Linked DNA regions of Caenorhabditis elegans. The protein of the gene in region 2 interacts with the protein of the main gene of each other region in a pairwise test. Each region holds a gene or a part of one and is shown on either strand. Other genes may lie near its edges.

What was found.
Region 1: the proteins of ceh-30 (region 2) and flh-1 interact in a two-hybrid assay, tested with the Caenorhabditis elegans proteins (one large-scale study listed by BioGRID).
Region 3: the proteins of ceh-30 (region 2) and mab-3 interact in a two-hybrid assay, tested with the Caenorhabditis elegans proteins (one large-scale study listed by BioGRID).
Region 4: the proteins of ceh-30 (region 2) and tbx-38 interact in a two-hybrid assay, tested with the Caenorhabditis elegans proteins (one large-scale study listed by BioGRID).

The regions. Positions count from the first base shown.
Region 1 is NC_003282.8:9,259,950-9,267,348, forward strand, and holds flh-1 (FLYWCH transcription factor 1), read right to left. Parts: upstream 4,315-7,399; 5' UTR 4,283-4,314; coding exon 4,266-4,282; intron 3,754-4,265; coding exon 3,528-3,753; intron 3,480-3,527; coding exon 2,709-3,479; intron 2,663-2,708; coding exon 2,153-2,662; 3' UTR 1,859-2,152; downstream 1-1,858. Other genes in the region: col-120 (Nematode cuticle collagen N-terminal domain-containing protein), read right to left, coding at 720-1,399, 1,447-1,546, 1,593-1,677, 1,728-1,804; Y11D7A.19 (NADH dehydrogenase [ubiquinone] 1 alpha subcomplex subunit 13), read right to left, coding at 5,861-6,247, 6,300-6,398. UniProt on the Caenorhabditis elegans protein: Probable transcription factor. Binds to the DNA sequence motif 5'-[AG]GGCGCCG-3' in the promoters of target genes, including micro-RNA genes, in order to repress expression, and acting redundantly with flh-2.
Region 2 is NC_003284.9:3,060,866-3,067,806, reverse strand, and holds ceh-30 (Homeobox protein ceh-30), read right to left. Parts: upstream 4,234-6,941; 5' UTR 4,102-4,233; coding exon 3,918-4,101; intron 3,642-3,917; coding exon 3,386-3,641; exon of another isoform or gene 3,181-3,385; intron 3,073-3,180; exon of another isoform or gene 2,923-3,072; intron 2,920-2,922; exon of another isoform or gene 2,774-2,919; intron 2,720-2,773; coding exon 2,446-2,719; 3' UTR 2,256-2,445; downstream 1-2,255.
Region 3 is NC_003280.10:9,729,472-9,739,909, forward strand, and holds mab-3 (Protein male abnormal 3), read left to right. Parts: upstream 1-2,759; 5' UTR 2,760-2,831; intron 2,832-3,940; 5' UTR 3,941-3,950; coding exon 3,951-4,093; intron 4,094-5,539; exon of another isoform or gene 5,540-5,540; coding exon 5,541-5,619; intron 5,620-6,297; coding exon 6,298-6,444; intron 6,445-6,813; coding exon 6,814-6,985; intron 6,986-7,490; coding exon 7,491-7,822; 3' UTR 7,823-8,564; downstream 8,565-10,438. Other genes in the region: RNA-binding protein pno-1, read right to left, coding at 9,908-9,975. UniProt on the Caenorhabditis elegans protein: Transcription factor which binds the DNA motif 5'-[CGA][TCA][TA]ACAATGT[AT][TGA]C-3', probably as a monomer.
Region 4 is NC_003281.10:11,782,029-11,788,800, forward strand, and holds tbx-38 (T-box protein 38), read right to left. Parts: upstream 4,034-6,772; 5' UTR 4,025-4,033; coding exon 3,819-4,024; intron 3,797-3,818; exon of another isoform or gene 3,717-3,796; intron 3,658-3,716; coding exon 3,339-3,657; intron 2,573-3,338; coding exon 2,186-2,572; 3' UTR 2,054-2,185; downstream 1-2,053. Other genes in the region: srd-74 (Serpentine Receptor, class D (delta)), read left to right, coding at 84-211, 256-324, 789-1,023, 1,386-1,664, 1,736-1,807, 1,858-2,046; C24H11.1 (Serine/threonine-protein phosphatase), read left to right, coding at 5,720-5,773, 5,821-5,952, 6,210-6,419, 6,491-6,654, 6,704-6,772. UniProt on the Caenorhabditis elegans protein: Transcription factor. Required for mesodermal induction, acting redundantly with transcription factor tbx-37. Together with tbx-37, acts by inducing cell fates in the AB lineage, thereby playing a role in development of the anterior pharynx.

The DNA.
Region 1 (7,399 bases), on a different chromosome or scaffold from region 2:
AATTCAAAGCACACAAGAAAACTAAAATTTAATAAATGAAAGTATCATAACGATGAAAGTGTGCATGTAATTTCCTAAAAATTTGGTATTAAACTAAACTCGAAGCATTTCTATAATTATTTAAATGATTGGAATTCAGTACGATAAAAACTAGAAACAATGAAATCCGATAAGATTTAGATTTAAATATGCTTAAACTGAAAACAATTTGATCTCTTTTAAACTTAGAAATTGATTATTTACCTTAGATTTGTCAGTACATATATCATGAAAACGAGAGTTTTCAAATAAATTGCTATACTTTAATTTCAAATCAACAAACGTTTCTAATGATTTTAAATGTTGAAGAACATGACGTAAATTTCAATTTTGGCTCATTTCGGAGAAGTATGGGCGATGATAGTTGATTTTTAACAGTTTATATTAACAAAATGTGTAATGCAAACCGATTTTTACAAAAATTAAGGTCGGGAATTCATTAAATAAAAATTTAAAGTAAATTTTAAACAAAACGTGCAAAAATTAAAAAAAATAAGACGCAAAAAATAAAATACGAGCAGCGTCAGAACGGAGTATTGTAGTTTTTTATGTCTGTGTCTCTTCGTCTTGCGTTGTGTTTCGCAGATAGGTCACTGTACTTTTTGAATAATTTAAGTAAATAGTGCTAAAAGTGTTCATTATTTACAGAAACTAAATCTAATCAACAAAACAGATAAAAATTAGTATCCAGGAGCAGTTCGTGGAGGTGGGCAGTGTGAACATTCTCCCTTTGCTCCCAAAGGTCCTTGTGCTCCAGGTTCTCCATCAGCTCCAGGTCCTCCTGGTGCTCCATCAAATCCTTGGTCTCCAGGTGGTCCTGCTGGTCCCTTGTTTCCTGGTCTACCATCATTTCCACGTGGTCCTTGCGATCCAGTAGCTCCAGGAGCACCACGAAGACCTGGTGGACCTGCTTGGCCTGGAATTTCGTTAACTGTTCCGGGCATTCCATCGTCTCCACGTCTTCCAGGTCGTCCATCTTCTCCATTTGGTCCACGTTCTCCCTGCTCTCCTGGTCTCCCGCATCTTCCATTTCTACCAGGCATACCATCCATTCCAGGTCGCCCAGAATTACCCTGAGGACCTGGATTTCCTGGTGGCCCTGGTGGTCCTGCTGGGCAATCAAGCTCAATTTGTGATCCATCAGAAGACGATTCTCCATCCAAATCTTGCCCATCTCGTCCAGGTTTTCCGGCTGGTCCATCTATTCCATCTCGTCCTGGTCGACCTGGGAAACCTGCTGGCCCAGCAAGACCAATTCCACAGCTGCAACAAGAATCGGAAGAAGATGAAGAAGAAGTGGATGCAGCGTCGTATGGAGATGGAGCTGGATGACTTCCAGAAGCTCGAGAGGGGGAAGAAGCTAATATTGAATTAGTTTCAAAAAGTCCCACAAAAGTTACAAGTTACCTCCATATCCAGCTTGTCTTTTTACTGGCCCTGAACCAACAGCCTTCGTTGATTCATACATATTTTCCAGATTCTTAGCCCCGTCAACACAAAATCCAACCTAAAAATGCAGAATAAATACCAAAATGTGAATAGAAATCACTTGCATCAGTTTGAACAGAGCTTTGAATATATTGTAGATATGTGTAAAGCCCAGGAATTAGAATAATGCACATGATTCCAGAAGCAGCACTGAAAATTTCCAGCTTGTACTATTCTGCCACGTGGAAATCGGAACATACCTGACAACAGTCGCCACGAAAGCAACTTTTCGAAGTTCATCCTCTTCAGAATTCACTAAATTCTTCTTCAAATTCATTTCTTCTTCCAATCACCTAATCATTTTCAACTGTGTTTTATATCATTCACGCTTATCACTTTACTGTTTTATTACAATCCTACAACGGATAGAACACGTTAAAAAATAAGGATAATTGATAGCAAGTCAAAGATAACATTACACATTATTAGTGGAATGGTTCAAAAAACATCTGGAAAAGGGAGGTAGATGTGATTTAGATTGAATCGTAGACTTAGGATGAGGTTTACATTGGGTAAAAACCAGTTTCGATGGAGAAATGTCACAGAAAATATTTAATGAGATAGGTGGAGAGTGGAGGAAATTTTACATTTTACACATATAAAAAACAATCAGTATTCGGTTAAATTACACAGCTTGATCATCCACATACATCAGTCGCCAACGGCTTGGATTTGAAATGTCGAGCAGGAAGAATTGATTATTGTCCCAATTATTCAACATGGGTTGATTGAACATTACACTGATCTTTGGTGAAATTCCGAAAAGAAGCATTCCGATACATTGTTGACCACAGAAGTCTTGAAGTGCCTCTTTTAAGTGTGCTTCATCACGGAGATTGATTCTCATTGGAACATAGAGATGCTCATCTGTTCCATCATTTTTAGAAAGGAAGAATTCAAAATGATGAGTCGGAGTCGTAGTAGTTCTTGGATATCTGTTCGGTTCTCCTTTCCACAGTTTTCTCAATTTTCTGGCAAGCTCGAAAGTTGGCTGGAACATCGGATCTCTTCTCAAATCATGTTCTTCATTCGTCAAATCAGTAGCTTTTCTTTTGATTGCTGGTTGTCTATATGAAGGTGAGTCGTAGTTCTCTGTTGGAATTATTAGTGGAGCAATTGTGGCGGTCTGCAATGGCTTAAAAATTATTATAGAATAAACTTTCAACACTAAGTTGACATACCAAGTTTGGAGACATATGCTGTGTGTATCTTTCAGGAGTGAATTGTTCGTTTTTCACCATATTTGACATCTCCGTTTTAATATTATTTAAAAATGGCATCTGCGCAAGGAGCATTGAATGAGACGTCATTGGAGCAGTGGCCGAAGTTGACTGGAGAAAAGACGCGACCCCAGAAGATGTGGGTATTGAGCCATTCTGCATTGCTTGCGCATAAGCTGCTCGAGCCGCCACAATTGATGATGCACTTTGTTGCTTCTGTTGTTCTTCTTCTTGCTGTTGAACGAGCCTCTTTGCAGCTGCTTCTCTATCCGCAACTTGCTTTCGGATCTTTCTTCGTTGATTTGGATCAGCAACATTTCCAACTATGTAGACACGATTTCTTTCGATATTCGTTGGGTCCAATCCATAAAGTCTAACTTCTTCATCTATTGGTGCACTGTGATTGTGCTCATGGATAAACGTGAGGATCTTTTCAGTAACAATATCCGTATGCATTCGTGCTTTACAAGTGTTCTTGTATTCACATCTCCAGAAATATTTCTTTTGACATGATGAAAGCTTGTCAAATGTCATGAAAAATCCGTTTGAAAACACTTTCAGACGAGTTTTCTTTGGGATATCAGTACGTGGAGAACCTGCATCTCTTTTAGCAACCGCAGTGGATCCATTGGCGAGAGCGGCGGTCAATAATTTTGACATGGTGAGGCCTGCGTTGTCTCCGAATCCACCGGCACTGGCACTGGCAAGAAGTGCCTGTAAAACAGCGTTGTTCTGAAATAACAATCAAATGAAATAACATCTTGGATAGAGGAAACTTACTTTAATAACGCTAGACATATCAATTCCGCTCGCGAGCAACTGGTTAACAGGAGCAGATGTAGATGCTTGGGACACAATCTCCATTGGTACAGCTGTGACAGAAGTCGATGGTTCGGAAGTTTCGGCTTCTCCATCATCGGATCTAACTTCAGGAGCATCCGCAAGACTTGGAGCATTAAGAGAAGACGACGACGGAGGGGATGGAGAAGATATGTTGGAGTTCATTCTGAAATTAATAAATTATTCTAAGTTACATGGAAGATAAGACCAATTGAGTGATGAGGTTAAAATAGGAAGTAAAAAACTATGCAGCCAGACGGTAGACCAAAATCCTATTGGAATGACATATTTGTAACATTAGCAGCGTTCGGGGGTCTAAGTCTCTCAACCCAACGGGGAAAGGGCGGGACATTATGGTCCCTTCTTCTGCGTCTCTCTGATTCATTTGTTGTCTCTTCTAATGACGTGCGCGGTCAGCCGCTCGCGGACCGCGTACGCGCACTCTTGGGTCCGTTCCACTGTTTACACCAAAGAGGTCCTTCGTGGGAGGGCAATCGCAGCAAACGGGAGCAAAAAAAGACGACGGCATGGAGGCAGCGGGGACAGATGGTGACGTTGGATTACAGTAGATAGGGCGATGTTGGGAGGGGAGAGAAGAACGCTAGACGTGAGAAAAGGGAGACATGTAGGATTAACAATAGAGGCAAGCGTTTTTTTATGATTGAGCAGGAGCCTTACGATTCTGGCGAATACATCCTCCGATATTAGATAATTGGAAGACGCCGTCCTGAAAATAAATTTAGATTTTATAAAAATTTCGAATAAAATAGATTAAGATGGCAACGTGTGTAAAAAAACAAATACTGCCTGTAAAATACAAAAGCGAAAAAAAAAACGATTTTTAAACAAATGTCTCATAGTTGAGAATATTTTGATTTATTTTTGGTTTTATTTTTAGATTTGGCAAAAATAATTTAAAATAATCCAAAAGGAACTTCTGTTTATTTAGGTTGGTTTTTTAAGCATTTGAGAGATTATAAGAATAACTTTCGGTTTTCTTATAATTGGAAATTGAAAATTACTATTTTAACGATTTAATATGAAAAGAAATTGCGAGAAACACAGATCTGTCCAGAGAAAAAACAAATGAAACGAAAAATGATGAACAGTTATGCGCGTGGACTACTGTCACTCATTGACGTTTTTTGTGCAATAACGGCTACGATAAATTGCGTATCACTGGAAACTTATTTGAACAGGCCTAAAAAACAAAATAGAATATTGCATGTTGCTTTGGTGGTCCACGAGGTTGTGAAAATGGAAAATGAAATATCAATAAGTCACCATATATATTTTTTACATAGTTGCAGCAGTTTCAAATAGGAATTCATCTCTAATGGGATGATGCAAGTGAATTTTTCTACATTTCTCAACAATTTATTTGCAATGCAAGTAAGCAGCGAAATGACGCGAAATTCGCAATTTTTTTACATTTATTTACATTTCTCTACATTTCTCGACGTGGGAAAAAACACTCATTTTTCGTCAAAACCACGTCTTTAGTTCATGACTTTACCTTCCCAGACGTTCACGTTTGTGAAAAGTAGTGTAAAATGGGAAAAATAAAAATAATTTGAGAATTTTAAAAGATAGATGCGTGGTCATTCAACGTGGTTTTGAATTCTAAAATTTAAAAATGATCAAGTTTGATTTTTCAAATTTGGCTGTTTTGCAACACCACGTTGAATGGCCACGCATCTATCTTTTAAAATTCTCAAATTATTTTTATTTTTCCCATTTTACACTACTTTTAACAAACGTGAACGTCTGGGAAGGTAAAGTCGTGAACTAAAGACGTGGTTTTGACGAAAAATGAGTGTTTTTTTCAAATGTCGAGAAATGTAGAGAAATGTAAAAAAAATGGCGAATTTTGCGTCATTATGCTGCTTACTTGCATTGCAAATAAATTGTCGAGAAATGTAGAAAAATTCACTTGCATCATCCCATAAAAAGCATTTTACTAGCACATATGAAGAAAATAACATTACAATATTATTTGAAAATTCAGAAACGATCATAATCTCTTCCTCTTCTAGCCCGTACGTGGTTTGGCTTTGGTTCTTTATCAAAAAAGGGATGCAGCCTTTTCGGCTCACAGTTAACAATTTGGTGTAAAATCCACTTGTTGCTTAAAGTATGCAGCCGAAAATATTCAACAGAATCAAATCTATCAAACATTTTTTGAAAATTAACTTTTGTTTATGGGGTGCTGAGATGTATACAAAATTTCGATCTGAAGAAGAGAAGAAATGCATTTTAAAAGACCTCAGAAGTCATGGGAACATTAATATTGTGTGGAAGAGAGCTTCATCAACCGATGTGAGTGCCACCAAACAAACGAATTCTTTTCTTGGAACATGATATATTTGTGGGAGTCTTATTCGTTCTTCTACTGTATTTCTCGATGGTTTTATGGTGTTCATCCAACTCTGAGCAAAACCAAATCCCATTGTAATATTATCTTGTGCTCGCTGTGACCAGTGCTCTGGAATTCCCCTTTTTGGGCTGTTTGGAGGTACTATTGGATCATATTCTTTAGGTTCTGTTACAGGAGACCTTGTTGGAGACGGTGAATTGTGACGAGACTGTGTTGGAGTTTTTTCTTCTGATGACAAAGGAGATGGAGGATCAAATGGAAAGTACTGATGAATGCGAGAATCCTGAAAGAGAACAAAGGTTGCTCAGAGTTCTCATTAAAATTCAAAAACTGACCTTTCTAGGAAAAATTGGTGGAACTATGCATGAGCGTCTTCTAGGATTACTGTATGGACTGGAACGTTGAGATGTATCATTTCTAAGAACATGCCGCATGTATTGTCTTCGTTTCCTTTTGGAGAATCTCTTACAGGTCTTGGAACTCTTTCAGTTCTTGGGGGCGTGACCATTAAATTTCGGAAAAATGGATGAAGATTACTATGATGTGATTCTTCAACTGTTTCATCTAAACTCTTTGTATCTTGTTCTGTTCGTACTTCATCGTCCACAATGCTCTGTGATCTTCTTCTAGGAGTACTTTGATTTGACATTCTGAGAAACTCAATATTCGATAGATTTGTAAACCGTATGAGGCAATTTAATATATGATAAGAACTTAAGAAAAACAAAAAAGGTAACAGGATACATAACAATTCATATGCGTAAAGTAAAAAATTTGGTTTTTACCAAATATATTTGGAAACTTTAGAGAGAAGCAAACGCCGAAGTAAAAAATATTTCTCCGATTTTTTTTTTCAATTTTTAGTTGATGAGAATTCTCAAAAAAATTTGAAAAAGTTTGATGATTTTGAGAAATGGAGGATTACCTGTATTTTTGAATGCAATATTGACTTCGTAAATCAGGAGTGGTGAAAGCTAGATATTCGCTACTTTTTAACTGTGAATTTTTGCATTTAAAATAAAATTTCCTAGAGTATTGAATGTTTTATTGGCCGTTCTACATACATTTGGATAGACTGAATTGGGAACTTTTCGATTTAATAGTTTCATTTTAAAAAAAGAAGTTTTATCCTTTGAAGTACTACTCTTAAGTTTTGTCTTACTCAAGACAAGAAACATCCTGATAAAAGAGTAATAAATAACTAATCGATTAGAAAAAATGCACTGTGTTGTCCTTGGCGACTCATTCAATGGTCCCGTTGTGCATCTTTTTTCTGTCTATGATCTCTCATTTTAACACACTATTTTGTGAAGCTGTACGTGATGTGGAAGGCCATCAAATACCAGAATGTTGTATGGAACACAACTACTTTGTAGGCAATTAAACATTGTGTAAACTTTCCAATCTGTTTCTGATTTTTCAAATTGAAAAATAC
Region 2 (6,941 bases):
CCGCTTTGAAATTAAAATGCGGTTTTGAAAGTGTGCATCACTTCTAGCCATTGTTCTTTTTCAGAGAATTTATATCTAGAAAAATTTGTGTGATAGTGACAGAATGATTGATTGAAATCACAGTAAAATTGCAGAGTTAGAAAAAAATGTGTGACTCCGCAAGAATTCAATTAAAAAAGCCAAAAAAAATTTTCAAAAATTAAAAAAAAAAAAAAATTTCAAAATTTTATCGCTGATCAATTTAGGATCCCACTACTTTACCTTGAAAGGTATTATCCTAGTTCCTTTGGAAATCATCAGATACGTAAAAAACATATTCTGCCAGTTGGTGAGCAGCCGAAACACAGAATCGTGATGCAAAATAGAAGAAATACGGTAAAATACTCGAAAATCTGAAAATCAAGAACTAGACAATTTTGTAATTTGTCCTATATGCAAGTGTGATCAACTGTTCAATGATCCCGATTAAAGGTGTCAAACTTTTGCCTTCCCCCATATCATACACATTTCTCCCAAATTAGCATCATCTTCATTTTTTATTCATCCGGGAGCTCATCGGACAAAGGAGACGACAGGTGTATACGTGTATTTGTCAGTGTGTGTGTGTGTGCTGAGTGTAAATTGAATCAATTGCCACCAGCCCCCTGAGCTAATTCCCTTGTAATCTTTTTATTGAGAGCAGCAGTCAATGATACATTAGGGGTGGTTGACGAGCCACATCATCAGATCACGGATCGGTGCGCAGAACATCATGATTGTCTCCGTTGTGGCATAAAATATGGGAAGAAGATCAAGTGATTGTAAAACAATCATTAGATTATCTTATTCTACCTAATCCAGAGGTTGTTAAAATAATACTAATTATGAGGTTATAATTTTTATGACCCCATCGACGGAACCAAATTCATCGGAATGGTTGCAAACTGTGTTTTTGGATGTGTTCATTCACAATTCACCCCACTACCGTTCACGGTGTGGTGTCCAATTGCTTTAATGACACCGTTCCTTCAAAATCCTATTTATTGGCGGTAGACGATTACCGTACTCGTCTCCTTTCTCCCCTGTCTATTCTCGAATTAGATGTCAAGTGGGTTTCAATGTGTATATGTGGGTGTGTGTGTGTGTGTGTGTGTGTGTGTGTGTATGTACACGACCAATTTGTCTAAAGACGAGAACGATGATCAGGATGAGGGCCTGGAGTTTCTCAAATGCGAGATTTCCACTAAATGAGCCTGGTTTTGTGGGCGACGAAAAGGGGAAACATAATAGAAGAGGAGCGTGTTACATGGAATTAGGCGTGTTAGTTGTTAGTTGTCACTGAACCGGAAGAATGCACACTTCTTGCGTGCTTACACAAACATACCACTAGCCTAACACACTACCAATTACCAATTATCTTAAGCTTACTAATGAACGACACTTGTGCTCTTCCGGGGACAAAATTGAAACAATGAACTGTAGAATGGAAGCTGCTATGATTTTTTATCCTTAAAAATTTATACCATTTCAGCAATATGAGTTAGAGAGAGCAATTATATATTGTTAAGTCAAATGTTATAAATTGAAAAATGTAGCATGATAGTAATTCTTGAAAATTTTCTAATTTGAAAGGCATCAAAATATGTACTATCGACTATTTTTTCTAGGTTCACTTTAAAATTTAAAAGTTCACAAACTTTAATTTTATTATCAAGTTAACAACAAATTTGTATATATTCGCGCCTGTAGCAAGCATTTTAACTGAGATCGTGGCGAGACCCACTCAGAAAAACAATTTGTGCCTTTACTATGAATGTCAAAATTTTGCTAAATTACTACATATCATTTTTGAAAAAAAATTTTGGAAAATTTTTATTGCGAGAAATGTTTATTGTTACTGGTGAAAACTGAGTTCGATTCACACAAAAGTACCAAAATTTCCAATTTCTATTTGAAAGGTTTTATCATGATCTTTGGACATTTGAACACCATAGAAATAAGTTTTACTAATTTCTCCACATTTTTTGAAAAAGTGAGCTAGGAACCGTCTGTCAGGTAAAGGTATTTGTCGAACAGGTGAGGTGTTAACGACGCCTGCCAAGTATTCTATCTCACATATTTACCTCTTCCGTCGCGATAAAATCAGAACGGTTGCGCCACTCGCCAACACCTGGCGCTTCTGGCACGTCTTGTGTTCATTGTATTTTTGAATGCCCCACCATCTCCAGTTTTCTTATCAGATTTCGGAAATCGTCATCATCCACGAACAGCATAATAAAATAATAATATTATTATTAATGACGTGGAAATGACATAATCAAGCAAAATAAAAATAACACAAGCGATACATATGCAATGTTGTGAAAAAAAGAAAGCGTCTTCTCCCTATCTAACCCATTGAGATCGGTTTTTGTGACTTTAATTGAAAATATTACATACAAATTTTAAAAATTAACACAAGAAATACTATTCTGAGTTGCTGGAAACATCCAACTGAGGGGATTCACTGGATATGTGAGTGGATGGAGAATTTGAAGAGGAGGAAGGCTGGAAAGCATGGGCTGGGGGAACAATCATAGACATGGGTAGGCCCATCATCGGTAGCTGAGTGCCCATAGGTAAGGCTGTGATATAGTTGGCCCAATATGGACTGCTTCTGATCAAGTTCTGAACTGCGGAGAGGTTTCCAGGTTCCGATAGAAGATCCATTCCACTTGTTGCCTGTCGCTTCCATTTTGTTCTATAAAAAACATTAAGTAATTTGAGTAATTTGAATTGCCGTATTTTGTTCCACTAGACCGGACGTCTTCACTTTTCACATCTTAATTTTTGAGTGTCCCGTTATTGTAATAATGATGTTTTTATGTCGCAACTAGATATATTATATGTATTAACCACCACTTGACTATATTCGGATTAATTCAACGCTGCCGAACCTTGGGACCAAAAGCAGGTGATCTGCCTCTTAGCGGACTCATACGCCTCATTATTGTGCAAAAGAGCAGGAGACCACCCCGGCGATAACTACACAACAATAGCGACGTTTTGAAAGGTTTTCCAGATTGTGAATGCATGGATACATTTCAAAAGAGGCACAAATTCGTCTATCCACTTCATTCACCAATGAAACCGATACTAAAAGCTGGTGAAAATTTGATGATGACGACGATGATGATGCTCTGATGACAAGTCATCACATCAAATATTCACATAGAACACCGCCGCCTTGAACAATAATTAGGAAATGTGAGCGTGGTTGGTGTAGTAATCTACAAGGGTGGGCTCAATTGGCGGCTACGCTTGTTATTAATTTGAGAATGTACATATGTATGTTAAGAATTGACTCTGCTACCAACGATAATTCCAACGATAATTCCAACGATAATTGAAAGACGTTATTACTAACCTTCTATTTTGGTACCACGTCTTGACTTGAGTATCAGTGAGACCCATTCTGTGCGCCAAATCCATCCTGTCCTGGACTGATAGATACTTTTGCTTTTCAAATGTATTCTCCAACTCTTGCAACTGCTTGTCAGTGAAGATGGTTCTTGCCTTCCGAGATTTTTTGCAACTGCCTGGACTACCCATTCGATCGCCGCCGGGGCTGCTTGCTCTTGGCGAAGTTGAAAAATCAGATTTAATTGATTGTGGCGATGGGTCTGAAAGTTGATGGTTATTGATGCACAAAAAGAACAAAACAAAAGATTGACCCCGGAAGAGAACTGTATTCATATGTTCATTAAGGCATTAATCCTTTTACCCCCCCCCCCCCCTACATTCAAACTATCATTTCCGGGTAGTCACCATTGAGAGGAGAAAATCGAGAGCATGGTTGAGTAAATTTTTGATGGGTAACGCGCCGCGCACAAAACTTTTAATGGCTGTCGTTTTGAATGTTTGGAATTTTGGAATCAATTGCAGGTGTAATGACTTACCGTGATCGTTTGAATGGGATGAATTGTTTGGGGATTGCTCGAGAATGTCAGAAATGCGGAATGAAGAAGAAGACGAAATTTTGTTGCACGGGGAAGTTGAAGCTGCTTGAGCTAGAAGTGCTTGTGTAGTCGGATCCAGATAAAAAGCGGGAAGCAGAAACTGCCGAGGGTCGAGAAGTGACATTTTGGGAAGTGAGTGGTACTGTAGAAAAGTGTTAAACGAATGCTTTGCACGTTCGAAAGTCGGGAATGCGACACTGTTGAAGGCACCGATGATTGGTTATTGTCGGACGATGAGGGGTGACTATAAGACAAGTTAAATGTGCGAGAGTGGGCGGGGCGACGGCCTGGCAATTTGGGTGAGAGAAGAGGGTGCGTTGACATTGGGAAGGATGATGCAGCAGCAGCTACCACCACCGCCCTCCTAAACATGGTCATGACAATTACACTCGATTTTCGAGATCCAACGCCACATGAGAAGTCAATTATTTGTATTTAATAACACGAAATCTATAACTTGACCTTTCATTTTGCACATCTCAGATGATGCGGGGGAAAATGATGGCGAAAATGAGATGGGGGAAGATGGTTGGGAATAGCTGCACACTGCGGCTAATTGGAGCAACCTGTCAAACGGTGGTTCTAGGGAAACATTTGATGAATTGTCAAACTTGGAAATAAACAATATGGAATATTATTCTGCCAAAGCTGGATATCGAACTCTAATTTTCAGGTTGGTGCTCGAAATGTTAAAGTTTCATTTTCACAGTTTTTCACTTACTTGCAGAAAGACCATCTTACTAATCTCCATATATAAGCTTAGTCGGTTTGTTTTTCACAAAATCGACAAAAGGTTACTCAACGTATTTTTCGGCAAAAAAAAGTTATAGAAGTTACGGTAAATTTTTGTTACGAATCACGATTTCAGTAACCTGTAGAAATACGGTGATTGTTTTTTATTTAATTTCAAATAATTTCAATCATTGTTGTAAACACTCTGTTTCCTTTTTTTCTGAATGAATACATATTTTTGTCGCTTTTCTCAAATTAGTTCTGTTTATAGTTTCATTTTCCCCCAAAACACGTAATGTTGCAATAGAGTTTCAGAATAAGGCCACTTGCCGATATTATGAACAATCTTCGCTCTGTCCTTGAAACAATGCATTTTCACATCTTAACCAGACACAAAAATAATTTGAAACTGCAAAAAGCGTTAAAATCCCATATTCGGAGTGACAAAACCCATGTAATTAACATCCACCGATTCCTATATTTCGAAGAGAAATCTACTCTGAAGTGTCGATTAATTTTGCATACTAACCGTCAATTACAAAACAAATAAAATGGTTTTTTGTTTCGCGATTCCAAGCCGATTGGCATGGAAGGACATTCAGCTAATTTTCGACCGCCCAGCTATGTACATAGACATGTTTCAAAGTCATTGCGTTCCTCATTCCGCCAGCAGTTGTTTTATTTGATAGTTCACATAAATCATTCTCATTAGCTCTTTCTTCTACTTATATATTTGCTACCTTGGTAATGTTGAGAAACAAGATGATCGTTCCGTCCTTGTATATTTAGAAGAGGTGCAAAAAGCGGAGACACTTTCAACTCAACGTAGCGTAAAATATTGGGCGCGCAGGAAGATTGACTGGAAAACGATACAGTTACAAATTGAAAAATGGGAAGTTGAAAAAAAAAGGAAAATTGGAAGTGGAAATGAAAATGCATTAGAGATAATTGTCATTTGCCATTTCCCCCACTCTTAATTGTGAACATACATCTTGACACCCAGTAACAAGAAAAAAGCTGGCAATATGAATATGAGCTTGTTTAGGAGACAGAAGCCGCCTTTGAAATCTCCCGGGTAAGCAGGTTCTATTACATAATATCGTATCCTTTCCATACAGCTCATTACAATTGCCAACATAAATAATTAGATTAAAGGACACTCCCGGAAAGGTGTCGCAGACCGGTGGGACCAGCACACACGTGGCTGCTCTATTGTGTTCTGTTGCGCAATAGAGACGCTTCTTTTTTTTTGACAATGGCAATTGAGACCAGGTAAACGACTCCTTCAAGTGTGTGAAGCGGTGTTTATCAAAGCCACCCGGCAATTGTGTCCTTTTTAGGCACCTTTTTATGTGACATGTTGACTTATAGCTTGCACCGATCAGCGGCAGGTTAACGAATACAATTGATGGAACTGCCGGAAGTGTCAGGTTATGGATAAATTTGAAGAGTTATATAGATAGTTGGAAAGATAAAACGCTGCTTTGATAAACATGAAATTTATTTCAAAATTCTTATTACTTAAATATTAAACATATATTGGAACTCGTTTTGAAACCATAGTTTCTAAATTTATTCATTAACAAATTAACTTCTAACAGTGTTAGTATACACGTGGATTTATCTGTGAATTTTGGACAATTCACTGGATTCAATTTTGAACGTTCAGGCAAAAGGTTTAGTCATATTTAATCGTATTTTATAGTTCTCAACTCATATGTGACTGATGTGTTGTTTCTAAGCATTTTTTTATTTATATTGTTTTCAAATTGAAAATTTAATTTTTGCAGTGAAGATAATGTTTTTGCAAAACTAACTTCCTATTTATTCATTGCACAAAACACTTTTATAATCAAATTTTGTCTAAAGCACAATCATGATCATAATGGCGCTTTTTTCTAATTCTCTTTGGTCTTTGAAATTATAATATTTAACTTGACAATGCGGTTTAACTATACAATTAACTATACAATATACAACTACATATACAATTATACATTTTTAAAATTCAAGAAATAAGTGAAACTCTTGCCAAACATAGTTTTATAAAATCGCAAAAATCATTTTGTTTACATAAAATTGGAATTGAAAACTCAAAATGGCTATTGATTTTCCTGAATTCTTCAGTCAAACGTCAACAACCATAATTTTTGAAAACTAGACTATCAAAGAAATTTTGAGCGTTTCAGCAAGCTCGTATTCCTATGACTTTTAAACACAATTTACTGAAAT
Region 3 (10,438 bases), on a different chromosome or scaffold from region 2:
TGAGATGGATAGGATGGACAATAAAACTAGGAAAAGTGAGAGGAAATGAGAGGAAAATTAGAGGAAATTGTTACGGATATCAAAGCCAACAGTTTTTTCACTGCTAAAAAGTTGAAAAGGCAAGGTAAAAGTAGGCTAAGCTTAAGCTTACCAATTTGACAATGTTACTTATGAGTGGTTATTGGTCATCTCCAGAGAACTTAGAGTAATACATTGGAAGACTTATTTTTGAATATTTTTCCGACCACCAGTGTTACAAGACCTCCCGTATTATTAGAACACCATGATGTGTAGACCACACAAAAATAATCATTCAAAAATTCGAGCCCTTTCCAGCCGACCCCCTTGCCCTCAACAAGAACCTTTACATGCTTCTCCTCATTGTTCTTTCGTCGCTCCTTTTGATTCTTTACCTATCTCCCCACTTCCAGCACTATTTCCATCCCAAGCCCCTCCCACAGTCGTTTTTTTTTCGAACCTCTTCTCATTGTTGCGAAAAGCCATTCATTTTGTGTGGCGCAGCATCAGGCAAAGCAGCACTTTTTTGCAATGCAACACTCTGAATATCCGTCAAGGGAGTCGACGAAATAGTGTGCGAGACGAAGAGACGCAGACACGGAAAATTGCGAAGAACTACGATTGGAAAAAGCGAATAACAACAGCCGTTTTTTATTGGGCCGCCCCAATTTTTCTAATGGGTGGCCTGAAGACGGACGCCCGGCGCGAGGTCGGAGAAGATAAAAGGACGTTTGAATTTGGACGCCCGGACCTCCCGATTTATGAGACCTTTTTGTACGGAGGTTGTCTCGAGGGAAGAGTTTTAAATTTCAAGGATTTGATCTTGCAAGCGCTTGGGATTTTGAATGAATGAAAAAATTGGGTGGAGGCTAGAAGTTATCAGAAAAAATGTTCAAATTTTTTTTTGAAATTTCTGAAAATCACTACCGTAATTTCTATACTATCAAATGCTAGCCAATATCTGATTTTTTGTCTGCTGTGTAAAACGACAGGCAATGATTTTTTTAATCGAAAAGAGCAAACCCTCGAAATAGGCTCCACTTACGCAACAAATCGTTCTCTTATTTCGCTTCGATCGACCACCAGTATTTAAAAGATGGGTGGTCTAGATCTCACAGAAACCTGCACTATTTCAACAAGATAAACACGACGGAATGTTCGTTCACTCTCACACTTCAGCCGTTTTTTTCCTACGAGCGAAACAATCAGCGGGGCGGGTAGTGAGCGAGTTGAGACTGTCTAGACTCGATGTGGTGATCTCTTTGGAGTACAGAGAATGTTCAGAGTAAATACAGTCCATTCGGCAACATTTGAAAACAAGAATTTAGTCAAAATTTATCAGCAATTCCTTTAGAAAGTTGGTTCTCAAACCTAAAATTTTTTAACGACATTTATAAAGTGGAACTGGAAATATCTTTGGTTCGGGAAAATTTGAGAAATTTAAATTACTGAAACTTTAAAAGTCATATTGAAAATTGTTATCCATTGCAGGTCAATAATTTTTGACTGAAACTTCAAATCTTGGTAATTGAAAAACGGTTTGACTAAATAGTGAGTCACTAGAACTTTGACAGTTGGTAAGACAGTTTTCAACAAAACTATTACTTTTCAAAGTTTTTGGTAGCTTCTCTCGAAAACATTCCTAATATATTTTCAGGTCCAAATCAACCTTTACCAAAAATGTTTCCTCTGTAATTTTCTTGTCAATCCCACTTTGTTTCTACCGCTTCTTCTCCTTTCCATTTCGAGGACACAGTCGAGATCAAATGTGTGCGTTGAAACTGCCAATTTTCATTCTCTCTCTGCTAACTGAACACAAGACCTGAAGGTGCTCATTAGGCGAAATTGAGAAATATTGGATTACTGTAGGCTTAGATATGTAATCAATCTGAAACTGGTGACGCGGGTGTTCAGAAAAAAAATTGTGGTTGGGTTGGGGGGTTAAGATTCAAATGAAGAAATGAAAAAAGCTAGTAAAAGCTGAAAGAAAGTACTTAGCTTATGAATATTAATTAGGTCACATGGGAGCAGTTATGAATTTCCAGTCCTAATTTTTTCTACAGCCCGGTGCCGGGATCTTGGCCCTATGGACTGAAAAAAAGCTCAAGAATTGTATTTTTCCTCGAAAAAAAAATATAATTAAGCTTTCTATATAGGCTCCAAGGTTCCAACTTGTGGATCCATAATTCTAGACATAGTTTCAATTTCCTTTAAAGCAAGGTAGGTCACATTCCAGGAATGTTTAATAGTTTTCTAAAATACAGAAAAGTCTAGAAAAGCCTACCCAACGAATGATAATAAAAGTTCGAACAAAACCTATAAAAATTGAGTTACAGGAAATAAAATAAAAAACTAAAAGTTTGCAATTTTCTCTCGTCTCTTCTCTTTCCATGATCACACGTACTTACAGGTGTCCCCAAAAAACGCAGAGATCACACGATTCGCGGAGTGTCAGCCAGAGAAAAAATATGTCGTCGCGAGAACTGATAGCGGTGTCCCCCTCCACCGCCATAGTCTCGGGGCGCCGCTCCCTCCCGATATATGTTTGTCTGGCGTCTCTTACCAGGTTTTCTCACGTTCGGCGTTCTCTAATTATCGTCGTGTGAGGTCTTCTATCCAATCGCGGGTGGCATCAGTCGCCAAAAAAGAGGCGGCGCTTCGTCGCCGCGACTCTTTCTTGCTGGGACCCGCCCCGTTTCACAGGAGGGGAGTGCCTATTACTCCCTCTTTTCCTTTTCTTTTCGATATTTGAATGCTATCGGTGCTCTAGGAGCTCGATCTTGACCCCTTGTTGGAGGAAATTGTACTTTTGGGTAGGTGCTTCCAGTCGATTCAGAATAATTTTTTGGGGTTTTTGAAAACAGTAAAATTATGTGAAAATGTTTCCATCTTTGCGTCTACAATTTGTGGCTGACTTTCCTAACAGTCTACTCTTTGAAATTTTTGAGAAAATGGCTTAACAAAAACTTGAACATTTGATCTGATGTACATTGTAGAAATACTGTAGCTCCTGACTTGTCTGTTTGTCTTGGTTTTAGTCTCTACAAAAAATTATTTCTTGATAAAAACCTCTAATTGATTAAAAATTGAACCTTTTGTAACACGATCAAATGTTGCCAGTTGCAATTAATCGATTTTTGTGATTTTATAAAGTTTGCAGTTAGGTTTGAAAAACTTCAAACGTATTTTATTTAGAAATTTATTTGCTCTTTTTTTCCTTCAAGTCAAATAAGCAATACGGTTCTGTAAATTAATAAAACTTTGTTGCCATTAAATATTGAAATTCCATGTATATCCGTTCTGAAAAATTCTTTATAAGAAAAAATTTCAAACTGGTTTTTAACATTTTTAACTATTGCAGGTTTAAAAACATACAGTAGCCCAACTTTATTCCACATTTAAAGTCACAGAATGAGCCCAACGTTGAATTGAACATTTAGATTATAAAAACGTATTTTATATATGTTTGAGCTATCTGTAATTTTTGAAGAAAAAAAAACTGGTTTCAAAGCTCTCTAAATTTTCTGTTTTAAATTCTCAAAATTCTTAACATTATAGGAAAAGAAAATTTTTTTACTTTACTTTGAAAATTTTTTTAATCCGAAAGATATACACTGGAAACTAGAAAAGATACAGTATTACAAAAAAAATTCGCATTACCAGCTGCTCCTTTAAAAAATTGAAAATTTGTTCCGATGCAAAGAACAATATTTTTGGCGAAAAAATGTTCTTTCTCACAAAAATCAGTCTTGAAAATTTGACTTTTCCACGACATTTTCAAAATTTCGTAATTATTTTATAAGTCAAGATTAGAGTATAGCAGTTTCATATAATGCTTATAGATCCCTCTTTTTAATTCCCTAATTAAAAATAAAAATTTCAACAAAAACAACTAAATTCATAATCTGAAAAAATTTTGCAGAGGAGCTCTAATGCTCACCGAGGATCCCGTATCGGAGATTTGTGAGGCGAAAGCAGTCGATGAGCTCGCCGAGCAAGAAAAAAATTATTATTGTCAGAGATGTTTAAATCATGGGGAGTTGAAGCCAAGGAAAGGTCACAAGCCGGATTGTAGGTGAGCAATGGTTTTTTTTGCATTTTTAAACTACATTTCATCTGAAAACTATTTTGTCATTCCATGTTTCTCCCTCATTCACCCTTAATTATATACATCACGTTTTAATGCTTAAACTCTTGAATTTTTTGATAATTTTGGGTCTTGCAACGATAAAAAGTTAACAACTGTTTAATGAACTTTTTGTAACTTTTGTTGTGCCGAAAAAGTATGTAGTTTATCCATAAATACTCCAAATTCCAAATTTTATCTCAAAATTGTCGCGTCACCGACCTTATTCACCCACCATCAGTTTTTTTTTTCGCGAAGCCCTCCGACAAAGACACCCGTAAAATTTGAGATGTTCGTCTACCGATTACGATCGGGCAAGAAAAGACGCAAAGCAAGAAAAAACAGCTGACCTTGTCGATTTAAAGCGAAAAATACCACCCATACAGGTGAAATTGTTATTATATGAGTGAGGGGGGTCAAAAACGAATTATTATATGGACGCGAAAAACGGAGGAGAAGAATGGGAAAATGCAAAGAGGCAAAAAGTTATGTTTTATACATTAACCTAAACCATTTTGAAGGTGGTCTAGGGATACTGTAGATGTTTCACCAAGGTGAAAGATGACTCAAAAAGATCTTGCAATGACGACAATTATCACTAAGCTAAATTGAAGATGGATTAGCGAAATCTGGGAAACATTTTAAAATGACTACAAGAGTTTTTTGAATACCTATGTGAAATTTTTTTAATTCCCTGATTTCGCTACTACACATTTAATAATATGTATATCAAGGTGTGTTACTCTTTTTAGGTTTTTTTAAACGCTCGTTTAAAGAATTTGTACTTCTCTGGTTTAAATATCCAAAACTCGCCCGAAACGACCGAATTTCATTATTAGGCTTTACAAAAATAATATCTATCCGGTTAAAAATTAAAAAAAAAACTAGTGAAATTCTGCCAGCTTCTTCTTCGGTCGATCATTTTTTCCAATGTTTAGATAAATTCAAAAAAGCGCTTCTTTTTTTTCGAGATATGTTTGGGAAGTTACATCATGAATTTTGGTTGTTTGGGATCAGTTTGAGACAATTCAAGCAACTAAAAATTTTTCAGCCTTTTTTATTATTTTTTTTGGAACCGAAAATTATTAAAAAATTATGTTTGCTTTTCATTCAAAAATCTTCATTCATTTTTTGACATCCAATCACACAGATACACTCACTTTTCAAACAAACCATTCCACAATGACCTATACAGTCGTAAAATTCCTCACCCAATTTTTTTTTTCTCCCAATTTTTTCAGTTCATATAATTTTTAACAAAAGATAGGGCCTATCTCTATTGTGAAAAGTCTAATAAAATATTTGAATGGGTGGGCGGGTTACTGTACAACTACAAAATTCTCCCGTCGATGACACCAAGTGGCACTGAAAAATAAACAAGACGAACATTTTACAGATATCTAAAATGTCCATGTCGAGAATGCACGATGGTCGAGCAGCGAAGACAGTTGAACAATTTGCTAAGCAAAAAGAAGGTGAGTATTCTATAGGGATTCTATGGTAGGTGTGGCTGTAGGTGGCTGTGCCTTACCTCATTCCTGTCTGCCTACATTTCTGTTTCGCGGTGTAGGCGGTCTTGAAGGTTGTATGTGCGTTCTCACGCACTTAAATACCACATCTTATCAGTTCACCAAAAAATCGCAACTTCAGATCAAATCTGACATTTTCAAAATGAAAAGTGGGTTGACGTCTTGGCTTTTTTCTCTTTTTGTAAGAAAAACAATTGAAGATACGAATAGATAGAGTGTGAAAAGCAAAGAAAAAGTGAGAAAAAGATTGATTTTATCGGATTTTTTTAAGGGTAGGTATATTTTTCATGAAGTTGTTCTTTTTCAAAAGGGGCTCTTGTTGTGGCAAGTCACATATAGGTCATTGCCTGGCCATCTATAGGCGTACCTACCTTATTGTTTTATTTCAGTTATTTGTTGAAAGTGTATTTTTAAATGAGAAAAATGCTCACTTTGGACCATGGGTATGCGTGTAGGTATGAGGCAATTGTAGGCTGCATTGACTGCAAGCATTCTTGAGCCTACTGAAAGTTTATACCGAATTTCTTGGTTATTGTTTTTGTGATTGCATTAACTCCTATAATATTACTGTGAAAATAAAACACTTTTTAGCGGGACCCCTTATAAACCTTTCCAAATTTCCAGATCCACTGCACACCGGCAACTCAAACCCGTGATGGGAAGCGTGTCCGTGACCCACACTGTGCTCGGTGCTCGGCTCACGGAGTCCTAGTCCCATTGCGGGGACACAAGCGGACAATGTGCCAATTTGTGACATGCGAGTGTACATTGGTAAGTGTAATTATACTGTCATCATCGGCAGTCAGGCGCCCTTGACAACATTGCAGTTTTTATGCTTTTCAATGTCACCTGCGCGAAGAAATTATAGGATTATAAAAGTACTGTAGGGAAATGGGGGAGTGGCTTGCCAATGAGATTTGAGAATGTGACTTTTTGAAACATTTTGATAAGTTTCAACTATTTCGAAGTATTTTTAATGCAACAGTGCTACGAATTGACTTTTTAAAAATTGTTGTGGAGCAGGCAACTTGGAGCATGCTCTTGGACTGACAGAGAAAGTTGCCACATTAATTTGTGTGAGATTTTTGAAAACGCGTAAACAGAACTACGATTTTCGAGTTTAAAAATATTATTTTTCAGTGTACTCTTGTGGAACACCGTCGAAATCTTATGGCGGCTCAAATCAAATTACGCAGATCACAACAGAAATCCCGAGATGGTAAAGAACCAAAAAGGAACTCTCGTAGAAAATCGAAAGATATGGATATGGAGATGATGGTTGTCACAGCTACAGATGGTCAAAAGATAATTGGTAAGCTATGGGATTTTGTAGAAGTGTGTAAATTGAGCTTTAAGTCAGAATCACAAAAATTGGAGTCTAAACCTGAAATCCAGTCGGAAGTAATTCTAGAGTTGACGGTACGTATTAACGTTATCAGAAACATAGATTTTACCATCAACTCATAGATTATATAAAATGGCTACTTGTTATTTCCAATTTTTCGTACCGAAACAATCAAATACGGGAATATCCAAACGCATCAATAAACAATTACGAAAGTTAAGAGGTTAATTTCAAATATGTCTAGAATCTCAAATTGGTACAACTTCTCAGTTATAGAATATGTCTTTCTGCTTACCTATCAGGCGGGCCCTGCCCTGAAAGTTACTTTGCCTTAAAGATAATTACCACTTAAGCCAATGTATTTTCAAAATTCAGGGGAAGACAAAAAAGTGGTAATTTTGATGCAAATATCAACGCAGACAGTTAAAATTTATATTGTAGCTTCAAAGAAATTAAATCTATAATATTCCAGGAACATCAGCAAGTCCATCTCCATCCTCAACCACTGATACAATGTCCCCATCCCTTTCAATGTCTCCACCATGCTCTCCATCTCCACTTCTGGCTCAATACACTCTGACGCTGGCTGCTCCGATTCCAATCTATCCGCCGATCCCAATGAATCAACAATTGATAAGCTTGCAACAACAACAGTTCCTGATGAGCATTATTCAAAATATGGCTCCATCAATCGGACAACAGGCTCCACTCCTTCCAGGCATTTCTGCAGGTTCTGTCTCATCGGCAGCAATTTTGAATGAGTTCTGGAGTATGTATCTGAAAAATTATGGTCTGCAAGCCTAAGATCTATAATTTTGACCAATTATTGATTTTTAGAAAAATTGTATGTTTCCCTTCTTTGCTTAATTTTCCACACAATCTCTTTTTATCTTTGGTTTCAAACTCAATGATTTTTTCATATTTTCTTGAATTTTCACTTTTTACCAATTTTGTTATATTTTCTAATTTTTTCATTCATTTTTCACCAAGTGAACCAACCAATTTACCGATTTTTTTCTCGTCTTCAAGACCGCTTGTGTTATTCCAAAAATCCCCATTTTTTTTAAATTCAAATAATCTTTTCGTCTCTCACCAAACCACATACTATCTTTCTATGTCTCTTCGCCACCTAATCATGTCATCAATTTCTTCGAAAATTCCCAAATTTCACCGATATTCTTCCGTTTGCATCGATTTCCCACTGTCCCCGCCCAAATTGAGCTGAGCTCCGCCCACACTTTCCCAGGATTACTGTATTGTTTCTCGCTCTGCGTCTCTCATTCTCGTTCCCTCTCTCTTTGTTTTATCTCGGAAAATAGGATCAAATCCTAAACAGTTAACCGGTCCGTTTTAGACACCCCCGGTGGTAATAATTTTGAAAAAAAGTGAAATCATGTTTTTTAATGTTTTGGTTTTAAAAAACCAAACATTTTTTGGAGAGAAAAATGTATAGAACTTCCAAACATACAAACACACGACGCATCGAGTCTAATAATTATTGATTTATTTTTATTATTTTTGATTTTTCAATAAACTTTTCATTTTTAAATCGTCTTGGTTCTGTATGCAAACTTGATCGTACAGCAATTTCCAGAAAAAAAGTTGGCGGCCGAGCTTTCTCTTCCGCGGCCATGTAGAAACCCATAGACAAGGTCTTAGCACGAATGAAACTTTTCCGTTACCGTACCATAGGGTATTTCCCAATTTCTCCTGTTTCAGAAAACATATTTTTTTTAAATTTAAACTTTCGTTGCTTCTGAGTTTTTAAAAAGTTTTATTTTCAGTTCTCCCAATAAAAATGTATTTATTTATTTAAAAAATTTAACAACGAAAAAAAAGCTATACCGCTCAACACCGAAAAGTTTGCGAATACAGTACTCCTTAAAGGCGCACACTCTTTTGTCCTCTGAAAAATTGATCGTGTCAAGACCCGGTACCGTATTTGTTGTCTAAAATTTTAAAATGTCCGTAATTTCCATCCATTTCTGTCTCATTTACCAAGAAAAAAACATCACTAAACCACATGAATAAGAGGGCTTTAACCTCCCGATGAGATGGATCGGGGGTCTCAACGCGAAACAAAGGTACATCCCAGTCAACAGCAGCCTCAGCAGCACCAAAAAAACGGTCATAAAATGGAGATTGCCGACCGACCGACCAATTCGAATCGGTTTTGCGACGAGGACGATGCCATTCGGAAAACGCAACGCAAACGAACACATTAAACCGAAAAAAAAACATTTGGAAAGGTCGGATTCATTCTGTGAGAATCCACGTAGCTTTTCAGGGGGACTTTGTGCTGAAATTCTTTTGAAGCTTGAAAATTTCCTCCATTTTGTGATTGATCATTCTGTTATCAATTTCTTTTCCGACTGCTGCCGCCTGATTGCATTCCTTGAAAATGTTGCGAAAATCTTGAAAAAGTGCAAACGTAGTCAAAAAAAAAGTCGCAACATTTTTCTTGTTCACAATCTTCAACCAAAGTCAGTACACATTGGGGGTTTTGTTTGATTGGCAGTTTGTCAACTTACTGATAAGACGAACGTCGGCGGCTCGCGACGCGAACGACATTAAAACGTCTAAAACTGCATGTGCTGAAATGTACGAAAAAGGGCGGAGATCGGTGGGATGGTGGTGCTGGGAGGTGCTCGTGGCACGAGATGAGCACAATGAGCACGTCTAGACTGAATGGGTGAAGGGGCACTATATTGGGAAGGTTCCGAAAACTAGCAGATTCCAAGTATAAGTTCATAAATCATCTCAACAAACTCAACAATTGAGATATAGAAACAAGCATTATTGGTGTGGTAACATAACAATTAAAAAAGAAACGAACAAGGAATACGATGAACAAAAACAAAAAAAAGACAGAAAAAATGTAATTGTTGATTAGAGACGTTCTGCTCCACGCGATGCCATGTTGCGAAGACTTCCGTACACTTTTGATGGGTTCGAACCTGAAATTTCGTTTTTAAATAGTTTTAAGTTTGATTTTTGATATTTTTAAATATCTAAATTTAGGGGCATATATCTTTCGATAGTTTTGCAATGTTTAATAAAAATGCACTGTAATATTTGGAAGAATATGTGTTTGTGAGACCACAACACCTCAAACTGTCCATCATCATTTCAGCAATAGAAACCGAGTGCAACGACCTTTCTCTTTCTCCTTCAGGAATGCAACCACGATGTGTTCGTGCGCAGAGAAAACCCCATCCCGAATGGCATTTCTTCGCTTTTTTTCTATATTCTTCATCTTCATGTGCGCACTGAATTTGTGTACAAACACACATTTTCATGGCGTCCCATCAAATGTGACACGGTGGTATTGGAAAGTGTATGTATACGTATGAATGTGTTGCCGTCCCCCTACTCTTCTGATATTTCTGCCGCCTATTGCGTGACTGAACCAGGTCCTGT
Region 4 (6,772 bases), on a different chromosome or scaffold from region 2:
TGGTCTCTTGCACTTTCATCTTTTGGAATTTGATCTCAGAACAAATTCTCAAATGGACAAAAAAATTCTAGAACTTTTACCTAATGGATGAGAGCGTTGCAATGTTTGTAAACTACTACTACATTGCCTATGTGATTTTCGCGTTGCCATTGAATTTTCTATTGATTTTCCTGATTTGGTTCAAGTCGCCGGTGTCTTTCAGCGCGTATAGGTGAGTTTAGGTGCCGATGAACATTTTTTAAAGCCTATTTTCAGACTACTTCTGCTCTACACCAGTATCAGTGAGACTTTTCTCATCGTTTTCTCGTTTTTGTTACAAATGAGGTGGGTTTTATAGCAAACCGGCGGTTAAAATTTGAAATAAAAGGTGTTCTGGTTCTCCTCATATTTCGAAATGGAAGAGTTTGCCAAACTAGGCAATTTCGACTCAGCCACGGCCAGGGTAGATTTACGGCGCGTTGTGTGTCGCGTCGCGGCTCGGTTTTAGTTGTAAAACTAAATGTGTTTGTCCGTGTGGAGTACATATCGAAATTAGGCAAAACGGGAGGAAAAAAAGATTAATTTCAAAAAAAATCAGTACAAGCGATACAGTAGTAATTTAAAGAATTACTGTAGTTTTCGCTACAAGATATTTTGCGCGTAAAATATGTTGTGCAATACGCATTCTCAGAATTTTGTGTTCTCGTAATATAAATAGAAATATATAAATTTAACAAAAACTACTTGAAAAGTCGACGAAAATTTCGCATCAAAAAAATTTCATGTTATCAGAATTTCCCGATTTCCAGAATCATCAGCGCCGGCGAATCGGTCGCCTTGGTACCATATGGCCCTCTTCGGCATGCGTCTCCTGTGATTGCCTTCATAGGTTATAATTTTTATAATTTATTTCTTTGCACCACAAATCTCTCAATACTATTGTCCATGTACTATCGGTACTCGTTGATTTGTCACGGAAAGTGCGAGAATTTAGCGTTGAGTCGAAATTTCGGAGTAACGTTGGTGATTTCTGTTGGAATGCTGGTAAGTGAAGAGTGTTAGCCAAGATATGGGCGTGGCCTAAAATAATCTTGAATGTTTCTTTTGGTTCAAATTTTTGGGTTTTCTTGTCCTATTTCCTGAAACGCTTAGGAAGTAGGAAATTTCCATGATTTTCTTCTCAGGGTTTTCATCAAGACTAGGCCTAAGCCTACGCGTAAGCCAAAGCTTAAGCCCAAAAAACCTAACCCTAAGCCTGAGCCCGAGCCTAAGCCTGAGCCTAGGTCTAAGCCTAAACCTAAACCTAAGACTAACCCTAAGCCTGAGCCTCAGCCTGAGCCTGAGCCTGAGCCTAGGTCTAAGCCTAATACTAGGACCACTTTCTAAATAAATTCCAAAATTTTCAGGTAGCAATTTTAATTCCTCCATACGACTTCCCTACAGTAACCCTGAACACGGAAAGATCGTATCCCAACTATCACCTATTAGATACTTTCGGCGAATATGGAGGCTTCAAGTCGACAACTCGGCTGGTTTATCTTATCAATACCACAATTCTCATGGGAATTCCCTACATGATGCCCGTTTTCATTCTGTACTGGAGACATCAGATCTTCAATCAAATCAACGAAGTTCAGACACATTTGAGTGAACGAACCAAGAAATCGTCGTTGGATTTGGTGAGGGTGAGTGGTAGGAGTAGGCTTGCCTGCCTAGTAGGTAGGCAAACAAGCAGGCAACTTTCCAATTTTTCCAGGCACTCACAATGCAGGCAATGTTCCCGATGGTATGCCTTCTTCCCAATGTTGCATACTTCCTTGTGGCGCAGGTGAGATAGGCAGGCAGGCAGGCACGCCTAGCCCATTGAAAAATTTCCAGCGAATCCACATCGAGTTCGAGATTGCCGAGTTCGTGCCGTTTCCAACCTGCGTCATCCCGTGCCTCATCGATCCGATTCTAACGATCTACTACGTTGCACCATATAGGAGTTTTGTGACGCGGCGGCAGAGAAGTGTCTCGATTGGGGTGACGTTGTCCGTGGCGCAGTCTTCCGCGAGGACTATTTGATTTTTTTTAAATATTAATAAAGTTTATTTCAATTGTTATTTATGAGACACATAAATAGTAATCCAGGAGATCAGTGCAGTACAATATTCAAAGGGGGAGAAAGGCAATAGGTAGGGGGTATAAAAATATTACAAAAAATTCACAAACTTTGGAATTCATTTTTGAGCTCTTGTGGTTGTCCTGGCATCATCATTTGCTGCTGTTGCCACCAAAACTCGTATTGTTTTTGATAATACATATTCCAAGCTAATTGAGCATTATTTTGAACTTCGAAATTGTAATTCTGAGCACTTGCAAACTGTGGCTGGTAGTTCTGCGGAGCCACAAAATTCTGGTTGAAATAATACGGGGTTTGCTGTGGGAGATCTATTTGCGGTGAGATTGTCGGTGGGGTTACCAATTTGCTGCGTTTGGGCGGAGAGTTTTCAGAATTTTCAGAGTCTGAAGAAAGCCGTCTCTTGCCATTCGAACGAAATCCGGATGCAAATTTATTGTGATGAACCTTGAGGTTTTTGAGGATTTCGTTCTGGAAAAGGGTACAATTTTGTAGAGAATATATGTATGTAGTTGGTGAAAAATTTCTAGTTGTGGGTAATTGAATTTGCTACATTTTTTTATTTTTTAGTTGACAAAATTTTAATAGCGTAGTTTCAATCCGGCACTTAATGAAAACTTAATGCTTTTTCCGAAATTGCCATGCCGAATAAATTTACCGAATTTGACGTGCTCGACAAATATTTTGAAAAAGTCGATTTGCGGCCTAAGCTTAAGCCTAAGACTAAGCCTAAGCCTAAGCCTAAGCCTAAGCCTAAGCCTAAGCCTAAGCCTAAGCCCAAGCCCAAGCCCAAGCCTAGGGCTAATCAGTGATGGGCAGCGAACATGCTTTCTTGGCGAACGACGAATTCGGCAAATTTGTCTATGCAGTTTTTTAAGTTTTCCAGGTTTTTTCTGAAGGTTTTTTCCTGTATAATGGCGTAAGCCTAAGCCTAAGTCTAAGCCTAAGCCTGAGCCTAATCCTAAGCCTAAGCTTAAGCTTCAGCAAATGGCAACTTTCGGCAAGTTTTTCAGTATTTTTTTAATTTTGAATTAGATGCTTTCTATATGTCTACATTTATTTTTGATTTGAAAAGTTGGAATAGCGCTTCGAAATTTACAGTTTTGGAAACTTGAAAATATGCTCTCCAACTTTAAACTACTTCATCTCCGTTGATAGTGACGCGATTAAAATGTTTTCAACTTTTTTCAACAAATTGTTGCAAATTTAATTTCCCACACCCTTTCAAATAACTAACCTGATAAGCAGTGACCACCATAAATTCAGTAGCCTCCAACCGGAACTGCTCCCCACTAAAATCCTCTTGATACCCTGTCTTATAATGTCGGACCTGTTTAACAGTGACCACTGGAATGTGCTTATGCATACTCTGCACTAAAATGACCTTCTGATCCTTGATTTCCGGGTTATTCGTGATTTTGATGTGAGCAAACGAGACGGGCTCACTCATCCATTCTGCTCCAGTACGCTTGCCACGCGGATGCTCCTTGTATTGGATTGGAAGAATCGGATCTCCTTTGGCGAATTCTTTCCATTCTCCTGCGTCGAATTTGTATCTGGAAATGAGTTCAAGTTTTTGAAATTGGAATCGTCCTATAGGTTATAACTCTGAAAGTATACCAGCTATCAAAAAGTTGTCAATTTAGAAATTGTAGCAAATTTAATTTTCTACAATTTACCAGTTGAAAATTTTTTTCTATCTTTTAACCCAACTCACTTAATCCCGTCAACACGTTCCAAATGAATATAAATCGAGTAGAGACTGCCTGGATCCAATCCCTTGATGATATAGTCCAAATGCGGAAAAATCACCCTTCCACGGTTTCTCGTCACAATCATTTCGGTTTTCGGGTAGAACTCTTCCCAAATTTCTGGTGTGCTCAAGGAGACTTTAATTCCGGATGGGGAGGTGCACGAGTACATGGTAATGCTGTAACAGGGGGAGTTATAGGAGTAACAGAAGCACAAAAAAGTGAGACCGGAAGTAGAGCAACAAAAATCTAATTGTAATAAAAGTGCTAACCACTCTCACTAATTCTGTAAAACTGAGCCGGTAAGTGGGCGGAGCCGGAAGGGGCTGGGCCACACGTAGGGGTGGACACGTGGCAAGTGGAGCACAACTTGGCACATATGAGCGTGTGGCCATGGGAGATGTAGCGCACGGCGGCCTTGGGTGCAGGCTTAGGCTTAGTCTTTAGGTTTAGTCTTAGGCTTAGTCTTTAGGTTTAGGTTTAGGCTTAGACATAGACATAGGCTTATGCTCAGGCTTAGGCTTAGAGTTATGCCTAGGCTTAGGTTTAGGCTCAGTCAGGCTTCTGCTTGGGCTTAGGCTTACAATTAGGCTTAGGCTTACACCTTTGAACAAGAAAAAACCTTCAGAGAAAACCTGGAAAACTGGAAAAACTGCATAGGCAAAGTCGCCGAATTCGCCGTTCACCAAGAAAGCCTGTTCGCCGCCCATCCCTTATTAGGCTTAGGCTCAAGCTAAGGCTTAGGCTTAGGCTCAGGCTTAAGCTTAGACCTCAGCTCAGGCTCAGGTTTAGGCTAAAGCATAGGCTTAGGCTTTTTGAATTCACACCAATATAATAATGACCTAGAAGGATCACACGCGAAGTATATCCAAAATAACTGTAAAATCGGAACACTCATTAAACTGCGAGCCAATGTTGGTGTCTGATTCTTGAACACCTCTTCCTCCAACTGAGCATCTCTATGGTCTTCAGCAATCTAGAATGTGTAGTTCACACTTCAAAAGTATACCTCCACCCACACCTTGACACCTCACACTCTAGTGATAGCGGTGCGCAGTTTTGAATTGGCTCGGAAGGAGAAGATGTGTCGGGCTCAGCGGGAGGGCTGGTGCATTTTGAAATTGGTTAGAAACACAAGAAATTGATTATAAAAATAATTTTATATTTTGTTTTTCATACATTTTTCAATAGCTTCATACTTAAACGTTACTATTAAATGTACATTTCTTCCAGTAATTTTTACTGCAAATATGAGATTTTTCAAGTAATAATAACGGTTCAAAAACGGTTCGAAACACTTGGCAAAATACTTTATAGCAAAGTATAAGCGGCACATGTCTTTGAGCCGTAACACAACTCTCTGCCATGTATGGTACGCCACGTGGTTTGGAAAACGAAAGACACACGATATTGTGGGAAACTTGGAGGACATCTGGAAAATTAAAGAAAAAAACAATATCGATTAGGAATTTAGGAATAGTTGGAAAACGATTTACAAACTTTTTGATAGCTTTGATAACAATTTAATCACGAAAATTATAATAAAAAATTATTGAAAAAAATTTACAAAAAAAAAAAGAAATTTTTCGCGTCAAAAACAAAAAAAAAAAAAAAACGCTATAAAAAAGTTGTCAACTATCAAAATGTAGAACATAAAATTTACAATTTTTGGATAGTTTACAACTTTAATAACAATTTAGTTACGCAAGTTTAAAACAATTTAAAAATGTTCGCGTCAAAAATAAAAACAATTGTTATCGCAATGGTCAATCAATAAATCATCAAAATCAATAAATCAATAGAAAGAAAATAAATTCATTAATTGATAATTCACACTTCAAAGGGATCAATTTGAATTGAAAACGAAATGAGTTCAAATTCTTCGAATTCTTCAAATCCTGCTGCAACAGATGCTCCAAAGGTAAGTGGAAATTCAGATGATTCTTTAAAATGCCTCTACCTTTTCAGAAAACTTCCGTTGAACCGGGTTCGGAAGCCAACAATTGGCATATCACGGAGGCCGATGAGAAGGGATTCAAGTTGACCGATATGATCAAGAAACTTCTGAAGCCTGTATTCTCGAAAGCCATTATGTTTGATGTAAGTAAAGGAGACTCTATACCGGCCTGCCTGCTTCACCTGTGCCTGCCTACATGCCTTCCCATTGCCTATCTGAATCATCCCTGCATATTTACCTGCCTGCCTCATACCTGCCTAAATGTTTAACCACTGCATTCCTACCTATTCTCTACCTGCACCATCCCTGCGTTTCTAAGCGGTTGCCTGCCTACCTACCCACGCCCCTGCCTGTCTATTTGCCTCCATGCCTACCTACGTTCCTAATGTCTTTTTTTCAGGAAAAAGAGATCCATGTGCTGTTGACACGTGTCTTCAAGTACTACACATCTCCACCGAACAAGAAAACTGCACCATCTGCTTCAGCATCTGCAACCACATCTATGAGCCCTCCAAAACCGGCTGCAAATGCTCTTTTGGAACTTCAAGCTCCGATCAACATTTGTGGAGATACCCACGGGCAGTACAACGACTTGCTTCGTATTTTCAATGTAAGTCCTTACCTGCCTGCCTACCATACCAACTGCATGTGTGCTAAGCTGTTCTATATGTTCCCTTTCAGGCCTGCGGAGCAGCGACAAAAACTCAATACCTCTTCCTCGGGGACTACGTGGATCGTGGAGGTCACTCATTGGAAGTCATTATGCTTCTCTTCTCACTCAAATTGGCAATGCCCAGAAAGATGCATTTGTTGAGAGGAAATCATGAGTTGAAGGCCATCAACAAGTAAGCACATGTTAGTAGATCTGACACAAAATAATCTTATTGGTAACAGAAACTACGGCTTCCACGCGGAGCTCAAGAAGCGTTTCCAAAGGGAAGAAGTGTATGAATCGGTTTACAA